4 linked regions of the Oryctolagus cuniculus genome follow. The protein of the gene in region 1 interacts with the protein of each later gene in a biochemical or structural test. Links are inferred from orthologs where the notes say so. Each region holds a gene or a part of one and is shown in the gene's direction. Other genes may lie near its edges.

Region 1 (4,013 bases):
CCCCCCGCGGCCCCGGGGTGGGGGCCGGCCCCCTCCCCCACCGGAAACATTCCTGAAACATTCCTGAAACTTGGAGGCCCGGCCCCTCGGGCTCCCCACCCCGCCCCCACTGCGGGCTCCGGGTTTTCCTCGCGCCCCCCCACCCCCGCCCCCGCCCCTCCGCGCGCCCCCTGAGGAGGGGGCTGGGCCTGGGCCTCGCTGACCAGGGAGGAAGAAGGGGAGCAAAGAAAAACATGAGTCACTGCCGTGTGTCACTGGGCCGCATTACAATTCCCTGCCTCACAGGAGGTGTGGAAGGCCGCCTCGGGGACCGGGCGCGGGAGGTGCGCCCGACAGGGCCGCGGCCCGGCCTGCAGGGCGCGCCTCCCCTCTCCGACCCTGCCCTCTCTTCCCCCACCGCCATCTTCCCGCTCTGGCTTCCTCCTCGTTCAGCGCAACAAGTCCCGGTGGAGCCCGGCGCGGCGGGCCCGGACGGCGCGCGTCAGCTCAGACCCTGCCCGCAAAGCGCTTCCAGGCGTCGCCGGCCCAACCCTTTGTTGTTGTTGTTTTTTTTTTTTTTAAACCACGGCAGATGAGAAATCTGGGGGCCACTGCGGGACCGCGTGCTTCCAAAACGGCCGGAGGGCGCCAAAGGGAGTGACGCCCCGCTCGGGTCCAGCCCGCGAGCGAGCCAGTTGTGTCTCGCTCGAAGGCTGGACCTTGGTCATGCTTCGCGTGTGGCCGTTAACAAAATCTAAACACCTTGCATTTCACAAGACGGTACCCCACCCGCCAGTCACGCGCGGGATGTCACTGAAACGCACATGCTGACACACCTGTCGGCCTGGAGAAATCCGCAGGCCGTCGGTGTAAGGGAAAGGGGCGGCGCGTAGGCCGCGGAAGTCTCCCACACCCGCGTTTCTCTGCCCCACTCCGGCCGCGTGGACCCCCGCGGGCACGAAGGCCCACCCACACCCCCCACGGCGGGGCGCACACGCCCGGAGCGCCCCTAGAGGTGACTGTCCCGGGACTCCGGTTCCAGACGGTGAGGACGCCCCCGCCCCCCGCCCCGACGCCAGAAGCCCCTTCGAGATTGCTCGGCGCCCTGCTCCCCCTAGGACTGTGGGGAGTGGATCGTGACTGGGCGCACCCCCACAGCAGCCTAGCACCCACCCGCGCGGCGGCGGCGGCGGCGGCTGGCGGGCGGCCGCCCTTTTAAATCCCCGGGCTCATTTGCATGGCCCCGCCCCCCGGTGACACGGCTGGCGCGGGCGGGCCCGTCCCCCCTGCCCCTGGGTCGCTCTTTTTAAGCTCCCCTGAGCCGGGGCTGCGCTCCTCTAATTGGGACTCCGAGCCGGGGCTATTTCTGGCGCTGGCGCGGCTCCAAGAAGGCGTGAGTTCGCGGCCGCTCCGGTGGCTGCTTTTTTTTTTTTTTTAAATATATCTATAATTTAATTAAATTATTTATTTATTGAGGCCGCGCACGGGCCGTGCCCGGCTTCCTGCCCCTCGCCATCCTTCGGGGGAGGGGGGAGACTCCTGCCCACCCCCCCACCCCCGGCTGGATGTGACATATAAATACCCCGCGGGGGCCTGGGCGGCGAGCACGCGGCGGCGGCGGGCTCTGAGCGCCTCTGCCCTCTCTCCCGGTTTCAGATCCGCATTTGCTACCAGCGGCGGCGGCGGAGCCAGGCCGGTCCTCAGCGCCCAGCACCGTCGCTCCCGGCAGCCCCGGAGCGCGCACCGCAGGCCGGCGGCCGAGCTCGCGGTGAGTCGTCCCCGCGGCCCGCGGCGGCGGCGGCCGAGGGGGGCGCCCGCGCCCCCGCCCGGGGCTGCAGCGCGCGCCGCCGGCTTTATTCCCAGGCCGGGGCGGCGCGAGCCGGCGGCGGGGGAGGGCCGCGCGGCGCGGGGGCGGGCGGCGGGGCCCGGCGGCGCGGGGAGGACGCCCGCACCCCTTCCCCCGCGCCGCGGGCGCCCTGCGGGGGGGGGGCGGGGACCCTGGGAAGGCAAGCGCGCGGTGGGGGAGGGGGCGCGCGGCTGCGGCGAGCGCGAGTTGTGCACCCGGCGGAGCCCGGTGCACCTCGCGCGGCGGCCGCTCCCGCCGGGGCCGGGGGTGGGGGGCGGGGAGGAGGCCGGGCTGCGGCGGGCGTGCGGGGGCTCGGACGCCCCCCGCAGCCGCACGAAGTTCTGGAAGTGAGGGGGATGGGCGGGAACCCCGAGATTGGGCTCTCGCCCCCTGCGCGGGACGAGCCGGCTGCCCGGCCTGGATTTGGGGCTTCACCCCGACCCCACCTCTGGCCCGAGCTGCGCCTCCTCAGCCCCCAGGGCCGGGCCTGCCCTCCGCCCCCACAAACTGGTTTCTCTGCTTTGCTGGGCTCTGTTGGAACTAGTCCCCTGGACTCCCCGTTTCTGTTTTCCTGGGGTTTTATTTGGCGGGGCGGGCGCAGAGAGGGGGCTTTCTTCCTGTCCCCCGCCAGCGCGCGCCAGGTCTCCTGCCCCGGGGCGGGCTTGGGTGCCCCCTCTGGCAGGAAGTGGGGCCGGGTGCACCCGCGTGGCGGTGCATGCGGCCGGGGTGCGCTCGTTTCCCGCGCCTGCAGGGACGGCCTGCGCCCCTCCCCCTCGCGCTCTGGCCCCGACTCCCGCCGGTCTGCCCACAACGGCCCGGCGCAGGCACTTGCAGACGCCGCCTGGGTCTGGAGCAAGGGCCGACAGGGTCTTCACCAGCCGCTAGCTGGGAGAGCACACCGGTGGGCTGGGAGGGTCGCCAGTTTGCTGTGTGACCTTGGAAAACTCATCAGGCTTCTCTGGGCTACTTTTTTATTTTTTCCTTTATGCAGAATAAAAGGGACTGCTAAGATGAGGTACTGGGGTCATTCCTGCAGGGCCTTTAAGCGCTGGAGGAGCCTGGGACCCGAGTGGGCTTCCTACAAGCTGAGGGATTGGGGTTGGCCCCGAAACGTGGCTGCTCCAGGCCAGGCCTCGTTGATGTTCGCGAACAGGTGGCATAGAGACCAACGTTTCTTGGCCTCCCTAGAGAGAGCCTCAGGACTTCGTGGGGGCCTGGCCGGGTGGGGTAGGGGGGAGGCAGGCACCCACCCCATGCCATCAGAGGTTCGGGGGACTCCGGGCCAGCTTCGCCCAACTGGAACCCCCCCTGCGAGGGGGCCCTGGGCAGACCTTATGTGAGGTCAGCACTCATTTAGCTGATTAATTTTGATGTTTAGTTTGAAGGGGGCCTGTGGTGTAATATAAGATTCTAATCACTGGCTGTAATTACAGAGCAGGCCAAGCCACTAATGACGGAGCAGGCTAAATCAACCACCTTGTTTGCAAGGGTCTCCCAGTCTGAGATATAAAATAGGGTAATTACCAGACAAAGTCCCGCCGTCTGGAGGGGCTCTGTGCTTGAGGGGTGGGGGCCTTGGGTCCTCAAAAAAAATCGCAAGTTTGCAAAAATGTTTTTTCTTTCCTGGGTTAAAATTGGAAATTGCCTCAGAATCTCTCAAAGGAGGAAGAGAAGTCATTTACCGATAGAAGGTTTCTGAGGCTTCAGTTTTTTTATAAACTGTTCTGAGTTGGAGCCCCAAAGCCGTGTGGGGAGGCAGTGGAGACAGGTGTCTTAGCATTGCCTGCATTTCACAGACGGAGGGGCGGGGCAGGCAGGGGGTGGTGGCTGCAGGCTTCCAGGTCCACTTGGGGCTGCTGACCGGGCTGGCCCATGCTGCCTGCTCCAGGAGGGATAGGTGAACTCATCGTGGTGTGTGCGGGGGGAGGGGGGTGCTAATCAGACCCCCAGCAGGCTTTCCTCGCACCCCGCCCGCTGCAGGCTCCACCATCTTCCTCCCTCAGTTGTCCCCATCTTTGGAGTCCTCAAGGATTTCCCCTGGGACAGGGCAGAGACCTGGTGGGTGGGCACCAGCCCTGGCTGTGTGAGTGGTGGTCCTTGAGGCTTGAGCCCCGCCAGATGCACACAGAGTCGCTGTGTGTGGCTGCTGCAGCTGCCACCGTCTCATCTTCCCTGGTCCCTTCCGAAC
Region 2 (4,081 bases), on another chromosome or scaffold:
AATTTCTGACCAGAGAGGATGCTAAGCAGGTGCAGTGTCGAAGCATCAGCATTGGTGCACGGGATCATAAATGGGTCAGCCAAATGCAGGCTCCACTAATGGCCGGCCCACAGCCTCCACTCGTTAAAATGTAAATACAATCCCTATTATCCAGCATCACAATTAAAAGGTATTTGCAAAAAATCAAAGTGGTGGTCTGGATGATACACTCTCTCCAAGGTGGTTTATAGCTTCGAAAAGTTGTCTTTTTAAAAGTTTCTTGCAGGATTCGGCAATGAGCTCTCTTTCCTGGTGTCTTCACCTTGTGAAGTTGTTTTGTGAACTTAGTGAATCTGGCAAATAAAAACAATAATGAAATGCTGCGAGATGGTTGTTTGCTTTCTGTTTTAGTGTCTTCCAGGCAGACCTACTGAATATTCAGCGAGTGATTAGTTGGTACATTGCCACGTGTGTCCTTCGCATACCCATGCCAGCCACTCTTCCACAAGCACTCTCACTCGGTAATTTACAAATGTTCGGGCTGCACTCTGCACCTGCCACTATTGCAGTAATTAGCTTAGGATACAAAATGGTTTCTAAATTAAGGCTCTGGACTTGTAAAATCAAGAAAGCCTGGGAGCCGGTGAACTCGCAGGACAAATCTCCAGCGATCCCAGGTGGCGGGCACGCCTGAGGTCTGGAGCAGACGCCTCCACAACCCGTGGGCCACAAGTCCGTCAACGGCCGAGGGAGGGGGAGAGGGTCAGGGCCCCGAGGTTCAGGCTGCTCCTCTCTCTCCGGCCACCTGTGGGCAGCTTGAAGCTCTGGGGGCTGTGCCCGGGGGCGGGGGCTGGCGCTGCAGCCAGGTGCAACTGCGAACCGGCGCGGTTAGACGGGGAAGGGGGCTCCGGGAGGCTCAGAACCCCGATCCCGAAAAGGAGAAGCGGAGAGAGGAGGAGGAGGCCGGGCGAGCGGAGCGGAAGAAGAGGAGGAGAACGAGGAGGAAGGAGCGCCGGGAGGAGGAAGAGAGAGGGCAGCGAAGGGCCGGCCGGGCCCTCCCGGCTCCCTCGCGCGGGGCAGTCCTCCGCCGGCGGCCGCCGCCGTCTCGCCTGGGCTCCAGCGCCCCTGTCCCGCCCGCGCCGAGCAGCGCAGCCCCCGCGCGCGCGCGCCCCCGCTCCAGCCCGCGCGCGCCCGCGCCGCCGCTCCAGCCCGGGGAGCATGCGCAGTGGGCGGTGCCGCTCCGGGCCGCCTCGCCGCCGCGAGTAGGAAGCGCGAGCGCCGGGCGCCGGGCTGTCAGTGAGCGTGGGGCCAGCGAGCAAGCGAGCGAGCGAGCGAGAGAGAGCCAGCGAGCGGCTCCGGCTCCGCGCCGCGCCCGCTCGCCTCTCCCCGGCCGCCGCCGCCTCCAGCCCGCGCCCCGCGCCCGGGGTCGCCCCTCGCCCCGCCGCCCCTCCCCCGCCCGCCCCCGCCCACCCCGGCCCTCGCCGGCTGCCGCTCCCCGGCGGAGGCAAGAGGTGGTTGGGGGGGACCATGGCTGACGTTTTCCCGGCCAACGACTCCACGGCGTCTCAGGACGTGGCCAACCGCTTCGCCCGCAAAGGGGCGCTGAGGCAGAAGAACGTGCACGAGGTGAAAGACCACAAATTCATCGCGCGCTTCTTCAAGCAGCCCACCTTCTGCAGCCACTGCACCGACTTCATCTGGTAGGTGCGCGCCGGGCGCACGGGCGGCCGCCCTCGGGCAACTTGCAGAGCCGGCGGGAGTCCCAACTCTCGCCCGGGCCGGCTCGGCTCGCGCGCGCCGCTCTGCCGCGGGAGGGGGCCCGGGCCGGGGCCTCTCCCCTCGCCGGGGCGCACCCGGCCCGGCCGAGCCGGCCGCGGGCTGGCGGGAGGCAGAGGACCAGGGAGCCGGCGGCGGCGCGGAGTTCCCGGGCGCGCTCGGGGGCGTGTGTTTGTGCTGCCCTCGGCTGCCTGGCTCCCGGAGCCGGGCTCTGCTGGGCGCGCGGAGACTTTCTCTCCCTTGGGTGAGCCCGGGGTGGGGGAGAAACAGGAGAGCGAGCAAACTGTTGGAAGCTCGCGGTGGGGGGAGGGGGTCGAAGCGGAGCAGGCGAGTGGCAGGAGGGCAGAGGGAGTCTTTTTTTTTTTTTTTTTTTAAATAGACCCTGTCAACACGAGATTAGACCTGTAGCCCGGCGGAGGAGGACAGAGGCCTTGTTTAAGAAAAATACCCCGATGGCTAAAGGTGCCGGAGTGAGGTGACTTCCAAGAAACGCAGCCGCTGCTCGTTTGGGGCACCTGCGGGATCCATAGCTGGAAAGGGCACCATTGGTCTCAGGTCCTCGGCCTCCCCACCCCCGGGAAGTTCAGGGAGCGCGAGGTGAAGGGCCCGTCTTCCCCGGGTCCTACCCTCGGGGTCGCAGTGGTTGGTTCTGCCTCAGGACACCGGTGGGCAGTTCCAGGGCTGCGGCTGGGGTTCCCTAGTCCCCCCGCCCCCAGGTGCCCAGGGCGTGCCCTGGCACCAGCCAGCTCCCCTCCCAGGCACGCGTGTCCTGGGGGCTCCGGGGTGGGCGTTGCCTGGTTGGCTGCGTCTGACCCCATCACACCTGGGGGAAAAGGTGCTAACAGGCGAGCTCTCTGAAAGTGCTGCTAATGGGGTGTTTAGGCTTGACCTTTGCCTTTTCAGAAATCCGCTTAAAAATACAGGCTTTTTGGAAAAGTACAGCACCTCTATGAATGGTTTCCACCGAGTAGTCCGCATATGGAGGAGTTGAGCTCACAGGAGTAGGGAATCCTAGATAAGGCTGCTTAAAATAAGTTTCTGGAGCGCCCGGGCGCGTCTGCCCAGGCGGAGGGCTGCTGCCTGCAGGGTCAGCTGTGAGGTTGCGTAAAAGAGAAGGGACTGCCGGCGATTCCTTTTGCCCGAAGTGGGTAACTTGGAAGAGGGACGGTGGGGCTGGCAGGCTGACTAGTCTTTGCGCTGTGCTGCCCCGAAGGCTGGAGCGGATGCGGCACCGAGGTCTCCGGGTGTAGTGTGCCCTGGACAGGAAAGGGCTCCTCTCTGCCCGCCCTGGGTGCACCTGGCAGCGTCCACACCTAACAGGCAGCCCCGGGGAATACCAGGGAAAGGTTGGTTCTTGATTTTCAGTTTTCTTCCAGTATTGCTTCGGTGGGTCCTTGATTTTACTTCAGTATTACAGCACTGATATTTTAAGGCTAGATATTTGGATTTATGTGCAGTTTTCTTTTTTTTTTTGGGGGGGGGGGAAGAACTCCTAAGTTAAGTATGAAGGTATGTGAAGTGTTGTATACATTTCAAATGTTATGTAAAGCAAGAGATTACAACCGAGGACCTCCTGAGAATTTCAGTGCAGTTCGTTCCTAGGGGAACAATGTTTGCAACTGAGGAGTTTGTCCTTGCAGGGTAAATTGTTAAAAATTAGATCATGATAATCTGAGATGCAAACAGTAGGGATAATATTTCATAAAATCTGGTTCCACCAGCCAAAATTAAATGTTAAAAGTGGTGCTGTTGGTTAAAATATCATGTGTCTAGCGCTAGCCAAACTCCCATAAGCCACTCTTTAACTCTCTATAGGGAGAAAAACAATTCTCTGTTGGTCCCTAGGAACAAAATTCAGCCACTTCCTTTTCCGCTCTGTCTATAACCTCCTCTTGGTTACTTGATTATCCCTGTCATGTTCTTGTCTTGAAATTTAAGTGTCAGTAACAGAGTGAAAAGAACTGGAAAGAGGCTTGATGTGATGAGATGTTTCTTGGATCCCTTCTAGGTGAGAGAGACTTTTTTCCAAGTTGAATTTGTACCGTGATCTCGCCAGGTACTTGGACATGTCATTCCTAGCAGCTCCCCAGATAGGAGGTCCAAACCTTTAACTCTGTAGAACATTTTGTCCTATAGCTTGTTTAAAATGTGCTATGCCACACAGACTCTGTTAAGCTGTTTTATTCTTGTTTCTGTTTTTCAGGGGGTTTGGGAAGCAAGGCTTCCAGTGCCAAGGTAAGCTGTCTCACTGGATTTTATTTTCAAGTACAACATGAAGTAAGCACTGCAGACACGAAATGTGTTCCCGGCCATCCTTTGTGATGTA
Region 3 (4,237 bases), on another chromosome or scaffold:
TGTAAATGTTGGTTTGTTTCCAAGGCCTGTATCCTTGTGCCATCACACAAATATTCCCACTTTCAAAAAATTCCCATTTTCTTTGACCACTGGCACACAGATAGGCTAATGTCTACCAAGCTACGTTAATAAAGTTGGAGGACACTGGATAAAATGTGATCTTACTTAAACAATAAAAGAAGTATTTCTGAGTGTATGTACATATATTCCTAAGTACCCATCCTTTTACTGTGGAAGTCCATTTCTTAGGCTATATTCTATTAAACTACTTTCAGATATCCATAAAAATATAGGTACAAAGATGTTTACCTAAATAATATTTTTAGTAAAATTAGGTAGAAAATATGCCTATCAATGGAGGAACAAATAAATTATAACATACCTACATTATACTACCATAGACAAACATCTATCCAAAACATTTTTTTAAAAGTTTACTTATTTACTTGAAAGTCAGAATTACAGAGAGGGAGAGGCAGAGAGAGAGAGAGAGAGAGAGAGAGAGAGAGGTCGTCCATCCGCTGGTTCACTCCCCAAATGGCTGCAATGGTCGGTGTGGACCAGGCAAAGCCAGGAGCCAGGAGCTTCTTCCCCGTCTCCCACGTGGGTGCGGGGGCCCAAGGACTTGGGACATTAGGCCATTACCAGGGAGCTGGATGAAGTGGAGCAGCCGGGACTCAAACCTCAAACCGGCGCCACCATCACAGTACTTCCTAATTCGATGTATTGAGGTAAAAAAAAAAAAAAAAAAAAAAAAAAAAAAAAAAATTCCTTAAGAAGCCCAGCGCTCAGGGTCTGTGAGGTCTTACGTGTTTGTCAAGTAGTTTAAAATGCTAATTCCCAGGCTGCCTTCCAAAGATTCGAATTAAGGTTCCTGCATTTAAATCGAGTCAAACGTTTCCTTTCGCCGGGAATGTTAAAGGTTAGGAAGTGCACATCCCCAGAGGCTGCACCGGCGGAGGCGGCTGACTCGGTCCCCGTGTGGCCCCAAGTTGCCATAAAAATGAGGACTTTGTTGATTTTTCCTCAGAAAGGGCGGATTTATAAGAACACAGAGTCCTGTAAGTCTGGCCAATAAAGAATAAAAACCGTCGTCCACTCGTTCTCCCGCTCTGGCACCTGAGACTAGCTGTGGGGAAGCCATTAGCTCCGAGCCCAGGCTTTCGGGCAGGTCAAAATCCCGCGCTGATTATGCCATCTTGGAGGCTTGCGGGAGACGAGGGGATGGAGGAAGGAGAATGGAGCTGCTTTCTGGCTTATTCCCGACTGCCTGAGCCTCCGCATCCAGCACAGCGAAGGCCTGCTGTCGCCATCTTGCAGGGTGGGCTGCGCAGGCTCTTGGCGCGAAGCCGACGCGCTGGAACCGGAGAGGACGTGGAACCGCCGGAGGTGGGGAGCGCGCGCCGCAAGGGGAAAGCGCGCCTGCGCATCGGCGACGGCGGCAGAGGGGTGGGGCAGGGTTTCGAGTGCGCGTGCCCGGTGTGAGCCCGCGAAGTACCTGGAAGAGGTGGGGGGAGAGGTAGAGAGGAGTGTGTTGAAGAGCGCTTGCGCAGCAGCGCGACCGTACTGCGAGAAGGGGCTGAAGAGCACGCGCGCGGAGGCGGGACTTGGAAAGCTATCGCGAGATTTCTGGTGGCTATATATACTAGCGGGGAGCCCGCGTCCTTTCCCTGGCGTGATTCCGTCCTGCGCGGCTGTTCTTTGCAGCAGTGGGCGTCTAATCTCCGTCCGCTTTCTCTCCTACCCAAGTTCGTCCCTCCGCCTCATGGAAGATTCGATGGACATGGACATGAGCCCCCTGAGGCCCCAGAACTATCTTTTCGGTAACTATTGTGGGGGTTGAAGCGAGGCCGAGCAGGGCCTGGTGGTGGCTTTAAGGGTTGGGGGGAGGGGGCGGCGGGAGTCTGACTGAGGCCCGGGCTGTTGGAAAAAGGCCGGCAGACTGGAGGCCGGAGAGAATAGGGAGCAGACCGCAGGCGTCCTGGTGCTGAGCGGGGTGGGAGCTGGGAGCAGAGAGTGAGCCGTGTGAAAGGGGTGGGGAGGAGCGGCGGCCCCCGGCCTGGGGCGTGAGCGGGCCATGGCCCAAGGCCGTCTGAAGGTTCGGCGTTGCCTGGGCTGCGAAGTAGGATTCCAGGCGTGATTTTTTGTCCCGTAGTGTGTAAGTCGGCTGGCTTGTTGCTAGGCCGTGTTACAGGAGGTTGGGGGGGGTGCATGGAGGGGCGTGGAAGTCCCTGCTGGAGGAGGAGGTGGGTGCAGCCTGGCGTCCTCATCCAGAGTTCCGGGCCCGGAGACAGCTCGGGTGCCTCAGCCAGTGAACCGGGGAGGGGATGTGCGGCGGGGCTTGAGGAGGCCGCGACCGCCCGAAGCACGTGGTTGCCACGTGGTTGGGGGAAGGGAGGGGGTGTGGGCTGTACATCCGGGGCTCTGGCATCTTGTCACCCACCCACCCCCCGCCCCAGCCAGGGGTCCTGTGGCTGCTTTGAGACTGTTGGGCGGGAAGTGATAGGTGTAGTGGCGGATTGAACTAGGATTCTGGAAGTCTTTGTCCAGCGTCTGCAGCATCAACTGTACCGTAACTGGCCTTTTTAGAGTCCTCTTTCTGCCTCAGCTGGTAGACGGACCTAAACCACAATACAGGTCTGATGCTCAGAGAAGTAATTAGGTTAAGGTTGCGCTTAAAAACCAGATTTAAACAAAATCCTTGATTGCAGAGCCAGCGCTTCATAAGTGAGGCTTATTTTTTTTCCAGGAAGGGTGTAGCGGAGGTAGTCCAGCATGGATTTTGTTATGTTCACCAACGTTCTCGGGTTGTAACCAGAGATTGGGAACCACAGCGCCCCCGTCCCCCGCGAACTCACACTACTATGTATGCATAGTTTTAAGGAATTACAGTAGAACTTAATTCTGGGAACCCTTTGTTGGTTAGACATGGAAATAGATGCTAATCCTACCCCTAGTTTACAAACCATGTTGAGGTTTGTTAGCACTAGCATGCTTAAGTATCTATTGTGAATGGGAGTGAAGTGTAACCACGTAAATTTTTATTCTGGCAATAATTAAAACAGTTTCCCGATGGAGTGGGAGTAGATAATGTGCACGGTAGTGCACTTTAGGACTTAATTCTTAGCCATTTTTAGAGGTTTCTGGTGATTTTATAAACAATAATTCTTTTTTTTGGCCCTTTATATTGGAAGTGTCCTTGATTGTGTCTGTTGCCTCTATTTCTAATGTGCATCACTTTGGAATATTGACCCTTACAAGTTGATTCTTTTATGTTGGTACTTTTCTCTGTAGATGAAAGCTGTTCATCTGAGAAACCATTCTCATTGCTAATTTTCCACTATTGGGAGTTTAGATAGATAATTCCAGTTTTTTAAATGGTTGGGAATTAACTATTATATATTAGGCTTCATTATTGATATGTCTGCAGAAGTAGTAGTGCTTGTCTCAGTGTATTGAAAAATACTGTAATGAAAATGCAACTAATACAGACTTGTAAGGACCTTAAATGATTTTTAAAAATGAGTGTTGAGGAAACCAGAAAGAGACCATTCTTCCTACTCTGTGGTAGCTAAAGTAGAGGAAAACTACTTAAAAGGTTAGCTTTGTTAATTTTCTGCTTGTTAGAATTGCTTTTTTCTTTTACAGGTTGTGAACTAAAGGCTGACAAAGATTATCACTTTAAAGTGGACAATGATGAAAATGAGCACCAGTTATCTTTAAGAACGGTACTTAAGCTTTTAAAATAAACATTTCTTGATTTCAGCAATTTAATTGTCCCCTATTTCTCTGCTTATAAGAGTTTTTATGATTGGATATTGTATATACCTCATCAATAAACTTGATTAAAAAGCTGGGCATGTTCACTGCTACCTGGTAATCTGGTAAAGTCAAGTCACCGTTTTATTATCTTGCTTCATTTGAATCATGAAAGATCTCTAGGGTGTCTGCCAGACGAACCTACTCAGCTTTGTAGTGGGTGTTTAATAGGTGTTCTGTATAATATGTGTGCATTTTTAAGTATTTCTTCAAGTTTACTGAACATGAGAAATTGGTTTGCCAATCTTACTAAACTTGAAGGTAGTGTTGGCACAAGTTGGAAATAATGATAAAAGTCATATTTGGTATTTTTAAACACAGATTTCCGAGGCAGGATTGTAAAACAGTTGGAAATTAAAGTTTACAAACTGTTCACAGGTCAGTTTAGGCGCTGGTGCCAAGGATGAACTGCACATTG
Region 4 (4,050 bases), on another chromosome or scaffold:
TGTTTTGAGACCATAAGGAAATAGAAGTTTCTTCTGTGTGATTTTAAGCTGGGGCCAAATGTAATTCTCATTGTTAAGAACGTAGGCATCACACACTAAAAAAACATTATGGACATTATGAACAACCTAAAGGGAACAGATTCACAGGTGAGAGTTGAACAAAAGAAAAATAAAAGAGGTGAACACCAGCCTTGCCCAGACAGGGAGACAAAAAAATCAAAAAATGAGTCACAGTGGAAAAGCCATCAAGAAGAATAGAGGATCCCAGTATTTCTGGGACAAAAGAATTATGATTGTTTACCAGAATACATCTAGCAGCTGGTTTGACTGTATCATGCCACTGTTGCTCTTAAAACATTCTTTAATCTACATCCTCAAAGGATTTTCTGAGAGCCACAGAACCAACAAGAGCAGGACAACAGAGCAAAAGTATTTTTCACTTTATGTTTCTGTGTGGGAGCAAACTGTTGAAATCTTTACTTAATGTATGCTAAACTGATCTTCTGTATATAAAGAGAATCGAAAATGAATCTTGATGTGAATGGAAGGGGAGACGGAGTGGGAAAGGGGAGGGTTGCGGGTGGGAGGGACGTTATGGGGGGGAAGCCATTGTAATCCATAAGCTGTACTTTGGAAATTTATATTCATTAAATAAAAGTTTAAGAAAAAAAAAAAGGAACTATTCCTCTGAAATAGACACCAGAAACTTAATTTCTCCAACTGCAATGAAGACTCCTTTTTGCTGATGGAGTGAATGGTAACTGAAGGCCAGAAAAGTTATGCTACTTACCTCAAATCACTCAATTATAGTGGTCACACTAGGACCAGAACTAAGGTTTTATCCTGTTAGGTTTTATTTTGCCCTGTTCCACCTTCTTTGTACCCTAACTACACTGCAAACCCAGCAATGTGTAGCGTTGATTCCTAAACCTCACGGCCTGTTGGGCTTTTAGATTACCCCCGTCTAGGTAAGGCAGTGTGAGTCCCGCGCTGCCCTGATAACTGGGTGGAACAAAAAGTTGAGCAAAGTGGAGCTGTCGTCTTATTTGGGCGTGTCTACCTCAGGAAGGGAGGGAAAACCAGAGCACGGCGAGCGGAGACGCAGCCGTGGAGGAAACACAGAACGTGGGTGTGGTGAGCCGGCAAGGGTTGCCGGGACACCAAGGGAGCCGGGCCAGAGAGGTGAGGCCAGGAGTCTTCCGTAGGCGCGCGCCTGGCGACCCCGCAGGAAGTAGGAAGCGCGAGCGCACACTACAAGTCCCAGAAGCCCCAGTTTCCTGGAGCCCGCGTCCGACCGCGCAACGCCCGCCGGGAGCCGGCCGGAGCGGCCAAGATGTCGCAACCTAAGAAGAGAAAGCATGAGTCGGGGGGCGGCGGGGAAGGAGGGGAGGGAGCCGAGGAGGAAGATGGTGGAGCGCTGGAGGCTGGCGTGCCGCGACCCCGGAGGACTAAGCGGGAGCGGGACCAGCTGTACTACGAGTGCTACTCGGATGTGTCGGTCCACGAGGAGATGATCGCCGATCGCGTCCGCACGGACGCCTACCGCCTGGGGATCCTGCGGAACTGGGCAGCGCTGCGAGGCAAGACGGTGCTGGATGTGGGCGCGGGCACCGGCATTCTCAGCGTCTTCTGTGCCCAGGCCGGGGCTCGGCGCGTGTACGCGGTGGAGGCCAGCGCCATCTGGCAACAGGCCCGCGAGGTGGTGCGGCTCAACGGGCTGGAGGACCGGGTGCTCGTCCTGCCGGGGCCCGTGGAGACGGTGGAGCTGCCAGAGCAAGTGGATGCCATCGTAAGCGAATGGATGGGCTACGGACTCCTGCACGAGTCCATGCTGAGCTCCGTGCTGCACGCGCGGACCAAGTGGCTGAAGGAGGGCGGGCTTCTCCTGCCGGCCTCCGCCGAGCTCTTCGTAGCCCCCATCAGCGACCAGATGCTGGAATGGCGCCTGGGCTTCTGGAGCCAGGTGAAGCAGCACTATGGCGTGGACATGAGCTGCCTGGAGAGCTTCGCCACGCGCTGCCTCATGGGCCACTCGGAGATCGTGGTGCAGGGCCTGTCCGGCGAGGATGTGCTGGCCCGGCCGCAGCGCTTTGCTCAGCTTGAGCTGGCCCGCGCCGGCCTGGAGCAGGAGCTGGAGGCTGGCGTGGGCGGGCGCTTCCGCTGCAGCAGCTACGGTTCGGCGCCCCTGCACGGCTTTGCCATCTGGTTCCAGGTGACCTTTCCTGGAGGGGACTCGGAGAAACCCCTGGTGCTGTCCACCTCGCCTTTTCACCCGGCCACACACTGGAAGCAGGCGCTCCTCTACTTGAACGAGCCGGTGCCAGTGGAGCAAGACACGGACATTTCTGGAGAGATCACTCTGCTGCCCTCCCGGGACAACCCCCGCCGCCTGCGCGTGCTGCTGCGCTACAAAGTGGGGGACCAGGAGGAAAAGACCAAAGACTTTGCCATGGAGGACTGAGCGCCGCGTTTTCTCCCAGCGACCTCCCAAGGCGGCCTGACCTGAGTGGGAGAGGTGTAGGGAGGTTGGAGGAGAAAGGGCGATCCCACGTGCAAGTAGGGGGCAAAGTCTGCTCCCTTTTCCCTCAGGGCTGCTGGGGCAGGAACCTGACTTCAGTCTCCGTTTGAGGAGATTTCTTCTAACTGTGTTCCTTTTTTTTTTTTCTACAAAGTGGTCCCCTCCCCACCCTTCAACCAAGAGATACACCATGCTTGTTAATGGGCGTTTAAGCCTCAAAAGCATGTGGTACCGAGCATTTGGGTTTCCATTTCTTTTGTTTCACAGGAAAAGCAAATACACGAATGAAACGGCAGTTTATGAAGGGTCCATGCACACGCCTGACACCTCACAGAAAGGTGAAAAAGTTTAGTGAAACTTTCATTGTCACTTTAATATCTCTAGAGCCATATTTCTGTCTCTGAATTCCCCCTTTTCCTGGGTGCCTCTAGGCTATGATCCTTGTTCCTCATTATTTTTTTAAATAAACGACTACTGGTAATGAAGAAAAGATGAGGAAGCTGTTTAAATGGCCCTCTTCTCATTATTCTTATTACTTCCATGGGGTGCTGAAGTTGATGAACACATTAGTCCATTAAATAAAATGGACTTTATGTAATTTTATAGCAGGTATAAGACATTGAGAAGGTCTATTTAGTTTAAAAGGATCTGAAACCAGCCAAATAGTATTGATTTTTAAAGTTTTTGTCTTCACTGTTAAGACAACCAAAACTGTTTCATGTATGTTCCAAAATATTTGTGTAATTCCTGTGAAACCTGCTGACAGAGGAGCTTTCTGAATCTAACCCAGTACTTATTACCATAGTAAATGATTTAGTTCACTAAATCAAGGAAAATATTTTTCCTGCTAGAAAAGTGCACTCATTCTCATTGAAACTTTCTCATGTAGAAGGAGCATGTGATTTGGCCTACTTTCATCTAGTGAAATTGACTTCTTTAGTTTTTGTTCTTCTTTTTAGCTCAGCCAAATGTGAAAGTTGTGAATTTGGGAAAATCACTTGTAATGAAGTGTGAGTCATGTTATCAGATTTACTTCACTGATGTTTCCCTCCTTATCCTTGTGGCAAATAAAACAACATTCGCACTATTTTTATAGATGAAGTAAGTGTTCTGTACTGAGTTATAATGCTTTCGCCTTATTGATGCTGTCAGTTCTTAAGAAATGTGTTACAACCCCTGCAGCATACAGCTTCAGGGCAGTTGACTACGCTTAATATTTGGGTTTTGCCATACTAACAGCTTTTATATGCTAATAGAAAACAAGTGTGAAAAATTGGTGATCTTAAGTTCTACAACATTTTCTTTATTGTAATTTTGCTCTTTTGTTCATTGCATATTAAAATACTTAAATAATATAACTAATTTGCTAAAATTTTGTTGTGTTGAATGAGACTTTCTTTGACAAAATTTTCAATTTTATAATAGCAAGCAGTGCAGTTATAATTGTCATCATTTTGATGATTGGATAGTTACCATCATGTATAAATGCTGGTCTTAGGAAGACTTGTTTTAACCTGGAGGTAAAAGTAGTT

Evidence for each region.
Region 2: of the proteins of HMGA1 (region 1) and PRKCA, one has a biochemical effect on the other in vitro, tested with the Homo sapiens proteins (2 studies listed by BioGRID). The link is inferred for Oryctolagus cuniculus from reciprocal best matches to the Homo sapiens genes HMGA1 and PRKCA.
Region 3: the proteins of HMGA1 (region 1) and NPM1 interact in far-western blotting, tested with the Homo sapiens proteins (2 studies listed by BioGRID). The link is inferred for Oryctolagus cuniculus from reciprocal best matches to the Homo sapiens genes HMGA1 and NPM1.
Region 4: of the proteins of HMGA1 (region 1) and PRMT6, one has a biochemical effect on the other in vitro, tested with the Homo sapiens proteins (2 studies listed by BioGRID, with this or other methods). The link is inferred for Oryctolagus cuniculus from reciprocal best matches to the Homo sapiens genes HMGA1 and PRMT6.

Annotation. Positions count from the first base shown.
Region 1 is NC_091436.1:135,099,464-135,103,476, reverse strand, and holds the start of HMGA1 (high mobility group protein HMG-I/HMG-Y), read left to right. Parts: upstream 1-1,213; 5' UTR 1,214-1,372; intron 1,373-1,635; 5' UTR 1,636-1,747; intron 1,748-4,013. UniProt on the Homo sapiens protein: HMG-I/Y bind preferentially to the minor groove of A+T rich regions in double-stranded DNA. It is suggested that these proteins could function in nucleosome phasing and in the 3'-end processing of mRNA transcripts.
Region 2 is NC_091448.1:12,520,976-12,525,056, forward strand, and holds the start of PRKCA (protein kinase C alpha type), read left to right. Parts: upstream 1-1,276; 5' UTR 1,277-1,506; coding exon 1,507-1,679; intron 1,680-3,958; coding exon 3,959-3,990; intron 3,991-4,081. UniProt on the Homo sapiens protein: Calcium-activated, phospholipid- and diacylglycerol (DAG)-dependent serine/threonine-protein kinase that is involved in positive and negative regulation of cell proliferation, apoptosis, differentiation, migration and adhesion, tumorigenesis, cardiac hypertrophy, angiogenesis, platelet function and inflammation, by directly phosphorylating targets such as RAF1, BCL2, CSPG4, TNNT2/CTNT, or activating signaling cascade involving MAPK1/3 (ERK1/2) and RAP1GAP.
Region 3 is NC_091437.1:58,113,566-58,117,802, forward strand, and holds the start of NPM1 (nucleophosmin), read left to right. Parts: upstream 1-1,432; 5' UTR 1,433-1,765; coding exon 1,766-1,823; intron 1,824-3,648; coding exon 3,649-3,728; intron 3,729-4,197; coding exon 4,198-4,237. UniProt on the Homo sapiens protein: Involved in diverse cellular processes such as ribosome biogenesis, centrosome duplication, protein chaperoning, histone assembly, cell proliferation, and regulation of tumor suppressors p53/TP53 and ARF.
Region 4 is NC_091438.1:63,347,826-63,351,875, reverse strand, and holds PRMT6 (protein arginine N-methyltransferase 6), read left to right. Parts: upstream 1-1,245; 5' UTR 1,246-1,333; coding exon 1,334-2,461; 3' UTR 2,462-3,890; downstream 3,891-4,050. UniProt on the Homo sapiens protein: Arginine methyltransferase that can catalyze the formation of both omega-N monomethylarginine (MMA) and asymmetrical dimethylarginine (aDMA), with a strong preference for the formation of aDMA.